2 linked regions of the Nothobranchius furzeri genome follow. The protein of the gene in region 2 purifies or fractionates together with the protein of the main gene of each other region. This does not show direct contact. Links are inferred from orthologs where the notes say so. Each region holds a gene or a part of one and is shown on either strand. Other genes may lie near its edges.

Region 1 (4,023 bases), on a different chromosome or scaffold from region 2:
CCGCGGGCCTTGACTCTGACACATGTGATCTAACCTGTTCTATTTTTCTCTGAAATGAGATCAAATCAGTGCTCCTATGGGTTGTTTCCACTCTGCACTAGAAAATTTTACTTTATTTAGAGATGTGTCATAATTTCTCCCCAAGCACCCCCCCCCCCCCCCCCACGAAATTGAGTTTCAGTACACACAATTCAGAGATCAGACATACATGGAAAGAAGTGTGTCCCATTTATTGAAGTATTTTGTGTTTAGTTTTTGACGCCTTGTGCATGCGTAGTTCAGTTACGCTCATAACTGATAGCGGAAACTCTGGAGTTAAAAGTTTTATGGCTTTACTGAAATACCAGTCTGTACTTATTTGATTGATGGTAGTTTTACTTTCTATTAGACTCCAAATGTAATCATTTGACACGTTTCTAATTCATAATTTGTAAAAATGTAATTGTGATATTAGCATTAGCATTTCAATTGGTTTTTCCACGTATATCAGCATTGCGCTAACCACTCGCTGCCAAATTGCAGTCTGCGATTAGAAAATCTCCTTTTGTCTCATCGCAATTTAATTGCGCATGCAGTTAATTGTTCAGCCCTAATATACATGCAGCTCTATGCTAAAAGTGTATTTTCAAAGAGGTAATGATGGATTTCTTTGTAAAAGTTGTCCATCTTTCCAACAGAAAGATTTGCCTGGACCAATAACGTAACGTGATTACATAATTCCGTAAGGTTCATGTTCAGCCAATCAACTACTTTGACGTGATCGGCAGTCGACGGACCCCGAGCCGATCTTGCACCCGAGCAGATCTTTTACCGACACCGGCCACACCGCCACAGCTGGAAAAATAGGGGAAACACTGCCATTTTTATGGTTACATGTTATGAAGCCACCAATATTTTTCAACGACTGCATCATTTTATGCATTTTCAAAAATGTTTTGATAGATATTTCCAGAGATTAATGATTAAAAACTACACATTGTCTTACTTGTTTTTTTTTGGGCATTTCTTTTACTGGAACAGTGGTTGAAATTTCAATGATGACTCTATAAAGGGTTAAATCTCTTAAAATCAGATTTTTACATTGTAAATTTCAGAAAAGTCACGTGTTTTAGTTTTAAGACCAATCTTTTATTCTGTGTTCAGTGTTTTTTTGAGTGGCCGCGAGATCCTGACGTGGGGGTGGGGACCGCTTCGTGTGTTCGTCACCAGCCCCCCCTTCCTCCGCCCCTTCCCCTTCTCTGGTAGTCGGTGACGTGCAGCTAGAAAGCGGGACCTGCCCTCCCGTCGCCATTTTTTTGGGTCTAAAGCTCGCACTTTGGTTGGCTTGAGAAAGAGGAGGACTTGCTTGGGAAAAGAAAGGAAAGTACAAAACGTAGACTGTCCGAGTCTGGATACTTCGTGAGCCGTCAGGAATGCACGCGGGAGCTCCGGAGTGCGAGTCCAAGTCCTGGGATGCTCACGCGGCAGACACACCGCTGCATTGAATTTGTTTCTCGGGTGAAGACGTGTTGCGGGGCCGCCATTTTTCTTGCTGTGTTGCCTCAAAACTCTGCTTCGACTCAGAGAAGGAACTCGGAAAGCTCTTTATTTGACGCGTGCCTCGCCGTGAAAGGGATTTGAGTTATTTACTTGTTACCTACCAGCGGCTGCTGTCAACCTTTTGCTGACATGGGGATTCATCGGATGAAAAACTGAGGCCACCTTTTCCGTTCTCATAACTGACACTGTCTGAAAGAGATACACAATTTGTAGAAAAGCTTGGTGTTTTCTCGGAAGGCGGAACGAAAAGAAGGAAGCCTCTTTGATCGTTTGCAGCTTGGGTCTCCGACGGTGTTTGTTTTCTGTCAGTTAATCATTCTCTTCGTTTTGGCTCCTTCAACAATTCTTCAGCTTCGGACTGCTGAGCCAGAGGAAGCGCATTATGCTCCAAAGTTGGATCAAGTCACTCGCTCCCTATTCCTGAAAACTTCAGATTTATTTTGATTTTTCTTATTTATTCAGGTCGACAGAGCCTGCAGCGTTTGTGCAGAAATTACTGGAAACCGTTCCAGGGTGGCGCATGCCCTGCCCTGCATCTTCCAAAACCAACGGTTTGCTGTGAGAGTACGATTGCTTGAACTCCCACTTTCACGTGTTTTTTTTTAAATTTCTATTAACTTATATTTGAACAGAAATGTCAACTGCTCGGTTTGAGTCATCCGACCGCTCGGCCTGGTATTTTGGACCCGTGTCACGACAGGAAGCACAGAACAGGTTACAGGGACAGAGGCATGGCATGTTTCTAGTTCGAGATTCCTCCACCTGCCCAGGCGACTATGTGCTGTCAGTGTCGGAGAACTCCAAGGTTTCTCACTATATAATCAATTCTTTGCCCAGCAAGAGGTTTAAGATAGGCGACCAAGAGTTTGAACACCTCCCAGCTCTCCTGGAGTTCTACAAAATCCACTACCTGGACACGACTACGCTAATAGAACCTGCTCCCAGGTAAAAATCCCTCCTGTGACCACGAACTACTCTCTTAGATATTTTATTATAACCGGTTGTAGCATAGTTTGCACAGTTCGAGTTTTGCACATCTGGTTTACACATTTAAAGCCTGTGGAGACGTGGTTAATAAACAAGATGTGGATACTGGGTTTGGCTTATTTGGATGTATACTAATGCCTTTACTTAATTTTCCCCTTTAAATTGTTGTTTTTTGTAGTTGTCATGTATTTTAAACTATTGTGATTAAACCACGTCTGTGGAAAGCACACATAGATCCCAGTTAAACAATTATACACTAGTTTTTAGGTTTATTTCCTAAGTTTTAAGGGTACATAATGCCCATAATTTAGTTTTTTTGTTTGTTTCAGTTTTGCTTTGACAACAGAGTTGCATCAGTAAAGTGATTGATGTTTCTCTTCCCAAGGTATCAAAGTACCATCAGCAGTCCCATTCAGCCTATGATTGGCTTAGAGGAGAACCTGGAGTATGTGCGGACACTATACGACTTCACTGGGAGCGACGCGGAGGACCTTCCATTCAAAAAGGGTGAGCTCCTCATCATCCTGGAGAAGCCTGAGGAACAGTGGTGGAGTGCCAAAAATAGAGACGGACGTGTCGGTATGATCCCTGTGCCCTACGTTGAGAAATTGGTACGACCACCCCACCCTGGCCAGCCCACACACGGATCTCGCAACTCCAACAGTTACGGGATACCTGAGCCCTCTCACACCCTTGTTAACGCCTACGCCCAACCTCAGACGTCATCCCCGCTGCCTCCCGGCACACCCGGAGCAGTCATCAATCCACTTCCCTCCATGCCGAATGGTCCTGTTGTGGCAAAGGCTATCCAGAAACGAGTGCCATGTGCCTATGACAAAACAGCTCTTGCTCTAGAGGTATTGTAGAACTTTTATTTTTTTATTCGGTCAATGTTAAAGTTTGCACCAGATGTGAAATGTGTTGGACCAGCTTTTCCTTTCCTCTTTTCAGTTTAGTCCTTTACCAATTCTATTCTGGTGGACATTTTAATATATTATGTATTTAACGAACAATTACCATAAAAATTTGCACATGGAAGAACAAAATATTACTATGTATACAAGATAAGCTGTGTTAAAATTGTATTAGAAACATCTCGGAGCAGAATTTCTAAAAATGATTCAGTTTTAGTTACTTGGACAGCTTACCAACACGCACAAAATTGTAAAATCAATAACGTACAAAATGGAATGTGTTAAAGTCACCAGTAAAGTTCCCTTAAACAGAACGGAGTTGGACACCAGTACTGAAACTACACGGCTGCTTCATCAGGGTGTGAAACAGTCCCAGAATAACTCAAATCACTCTTCCAGTTCTTTGGTGTTCGTTATGCTTACATTTTAATGTGCTTTTATGCAAATATTAACCTTTTCCAAGTAGGAGTGGCTTTAACCTGTTTTTGACTACTTTTATGATAAATGATCCACACTTGTAAAGCGCTTTTCTGAGTCAGTGGACTCCAAAGTGCTTTCCACTATAGTGAATCATTCATCCATA
Region 2 (3,500 bases):
GTTGGTTCTGTTTGGCTAAAGGTCAAAGGTGACAGATCATCTGCTGCTGTGGCCCCAGACTCTGGACCTCTCTCCCTCTGAGCCTGAGATCAGTGGACTCAGTGGTCTCCTTTAAACTCACCTGTTCAGGCTTTTGTATGACCTCCATCACCTCCCTCACCTTGTTCTGCTCTCCCTACCTATTCCACCTTCCTCAGGATCCACTGATTTCCCTCTTTCCTGTTCACTCTCTCTCTCTTTCTTAACATTTTTTAAATCATAATTGTCTATTTTTGCTCATTTTAAATATATTTTTAAAATTTTCTAAATTATTTTTTATATTTTTACATTTATTGCTTTTGCGAAGCGCCTCGTGGTTTTTATCTCGAGAGGCGCTATAGAAACGATATTTTCTTCTTCTTCCGTTTGTGCGGATTCAGCCAGGATTCTGATCCAGGTCCGAGTCTCCAGAACCACCGAGCTGGATTTCAGCTTTGGCCTTCCCGGTCTGGTACCGTCGTTTGTCTGGGTCAGAGGTTCGGGTGCGTTCGTGGGCCGAGGAAACCGTTTCTATGCGTGTTTACTCTGATTGGGCGACGTGTTTGAATGTCGGCTGGTTCACAAACCCGCTGATCAGATCTGTTTGGTGATGAAGCCGAGTCGTAGAACTCCTCCTCGTCATCGCTGCTCTTCACCACTCGGTCGCTGACTGCAGCAAAACAAGACTTAATGTAAAAAAAAATCCAAAACATCAAATCTTGGTTGTGAAGGTTTAAATCTCCAGTTTTATTTGATGAAGCTGACGCTTAGATGTATGTCTGTACAGGAAGACGGACTGTTTGCCATCCTGCTACAGGAGCCCAGAAGGGACAAATAAAACTTTAGTTGTCGGTTTGAAGTAGAAGAATCCAGTCTGAGCCTGAGGACGTAGAAACGTTCTTCAACCTTTGAACGCGATAAAAACTCATCGGCGTGACGACGAGGACACGCCCAGTCGCCTCCTCCTGGCTTCAGACACGTCTGCTGTTACCGGTGACCTTTGCCCTCAGATATCTGATTCACTGGTTACAATGTTTGCGTGTTTGAAACCAGTGAGAACCTGTGAACAGCGTCAGCCCATTTCCTTGGATCTGTGTGGTCCCTGAACTCACCACGACGTCACACTCAGCTCAGCTCAGGGGGGAGGGGAGGTTTCAGGCTGAAGATGGTTTTAGATGGAGATGCACTGATTCTGCTTTTTAAAGCCGATACCGATTTCTGATTCTTGACCTGCTGCTCCAGATTTCCCTCTAAGACGTGAACGGTATGCAACTTTTAAAGTTTCTGATTGAACCTGATTGGATCCAGGCCTCCTCCTTACCTCAGTCATCCCTCGGCGTGGTTCTCCATCAGGAGGAGGAACAGAAGAAGAACGTTGGCTCTAAATAAAGCCTCCAGCAGACTGACGGGAAGCTGCCCGTGGTTTGGTTTGGGTGCTTCTGCGTTGATGCCAGCTGGGCGCAGATATTCTGGTCGTTGTTGTTTGGTGTCAGTGTGTTCAGGAGGACAGAAGGCATGTCTGCTCCCGCTGCTGGCTTAACCTCCTCAGCGAGGGTCTGGATGTTCTTCTGCATCAGGATAATTGTTTATCTTCGTCAAACACAGACCCTGCAGGCTTGTTCTCACGTGAGGGAGGACGGGTCAGAGCCGCGGCCTTTATGACCCTCAGAATAAAATACGATCAAATGAAGGAACCAAGTTCACAAAGGAGTTTCCAAAACATCTCCGAACTTTCGCCGGGGTTCTCGCGGGGCCTCACCCTCCGTCTGTGTTTACGCCGGTATCTCACAAGCCTGATTGTTCAGTCTGTCCCTGAACTCACCACGGTTATTTCCCATGACCAGATTCAGGTTTTATCATAAGGTGAGTTCTGTAAACTCCAGTTCCCTCAGATGAGTCAGAATGGGTGGGTTAGGAGGTCCAGGGCGGCCGGGCCCACCAACGGTACCAGAAACAAACCCACGGCTCTCCTGGAGCTGTAAAGGCTTTGTGTTCTGATCAGAGATTATAATCTGATTTAATCCTGCAGAGTTTCTTCTTCCTGTTTGTTTTCTTCTCATTCCGACCCAGACGGATCCAGAACCTGGAACTGCCAGGTTCTGGATCAGGCAACGTGCCCTTGAGCAAGTCACGCACATCTTAATTGCACCTAATGGGGCGTGCACGGCTGGAAGTGCACGGCCGCTCTACGAAGGTTGAAAACAAGCATTCGTGCCCGTTTCCTCCCTCCTGCTGATGCGTTTAACGAGCTAATCGGTCCTAAATGCCGCGGCGCTGGGGGCTCGTTACCCATGAGCCCTCACCAGACCTTCCCAAAACCCTGAGAAGATCCTGTCAAGTTCAGGTTCAAGCGCAGCTGAAGGTCGCGAGGTCGTGTGACTGCACGGCCTTTAGCAGCTGCTGGGGGCGGGGCTATGATGCCCTACGGGGTCATGATGGGAAATGTTCACCAGCTTTATTTGTAATCACCAGATTTAAACATGGATGAAAGCTGTGGTGTGTGTTTGAACCGTTCGGCGCGTCTAACAACAGTTTTGTTTCTGTGGCTGCAGAACCTGATGGCCAAGGCGTTGTACGACAACGTTCCAGAGTCTCCCGAGGAGCTGGCGTTCCGGAAGGGGGACATCCTAACCGTCATCGAGCAGAACACCGGCGGCCTGGAGGGCTGGTGGCTGTGCTCCCTGCGCGGCTGTCAGGGCATCGCTCCCGGGAACCGCCTGAAGCTGCTGATCGGACCCATGTTCGAGGCCCAGTCGTCGGGCGCCGCCGCCCAGGCTCCTGCTCCGAGCCTCCAGCAGCAGGGCCTCTACCAGGTCCCACCGAGGAGCACGCTCAGCGCTGAGAGCGCACCCAGCAAGGTGAGAGCTGCTCCCTTTATCGGCTAATCTGGCAGTTAGCTTTCTGGTGAATCCAGAGGAGGAATTACCCAGCAGCTTATGGGGTTTATTCTGATGAGATTAACGGAAAAGCTCGTCATTAGAAGCAGCTGCAGAGGTAGGATGGAACATGAGCAACCGGTCCAAGACCCTGGCCCGGTCCAGGTCCAGGTCTCCTAAATCTTCTGGTCTCCATCACTTTTCCAATGAGCAGCTGAACTTCTGCCTGCAGGAACGGGTCATGTTCAGACGGTCTAACCGGGCCGGTGAGACCCGGTTAGCTGCTGTTAGCTCGTCCTCATCCTGCTGCTGCACCGCTCAGCAGACCTTCAGGACAGCAAGCTCTCACCTCTTTCCAGCCTTCAGCTGAAGCTCAGGATTCCTGAAAGTTTAAGCTCTCCTCCTCCTCCTCCTCCTCCTGCTCCTCCTGCTCCTCCCCCCCTCCTCCTCTGGCAGGTCTGTGGGAACACGAGGAGAAAACTTTCCCGGTTATTCATCCGTGTAACTTCTCCAGACGTGATCGGATTAGAATTAGAACCTGAAGAGGTTTTTAGTTGAATCAATCCGGTTGTTGCCGGAATGATCTCAGGTGTGTTTCAGCACCTG

The links. Proteins that work in one complex are often made in the same cells at the same time.
Region 1: the proteins of nedd9 (region 2) and crkl purify together in Homo sapiens (affinity purification with western blotting; 4 studies listed by BioGRID). This does not show direct contact. The link is inferred for Nothobranchius furzeri from reciprocal best matches to the Homo sapiens genes NEDD9 and CRKL.

The regions. Positions count from the first base shown.
Region 1 is NC_091746.1:46,875,078-46,879,100, reverse strand, and holds the start of crkl (crk-like protein), read left to right. Parts: upstream 1-1,223; 5' UTR 1,224-2,173; coding exon 2,174-2,484; intron 2,485-2,911; coding exon 2,912-3,383; intron 3,384-4,023. UniProt on the Homo sapiens protein: May mediate the transduction of intracellular signals.
Region 2 is NC_091759.1:25,485,569-25,489,068, forward strand, and holds part of nedd9 (enhancer of filamentation 1), read left to right. Parts: exon of another isoform or gene 1-2,563; intron 2,564-2,570; coding exon 2,571-2,876; intron 2,877-3,500. UniProt on the Homo sapiens protein: Scaffolding protein which plays a central coordinating role for tyrosine-kinase-based signaling related to cell adhesion. As a focal adhesion protein, plays a role in embryonic fibroblast migration.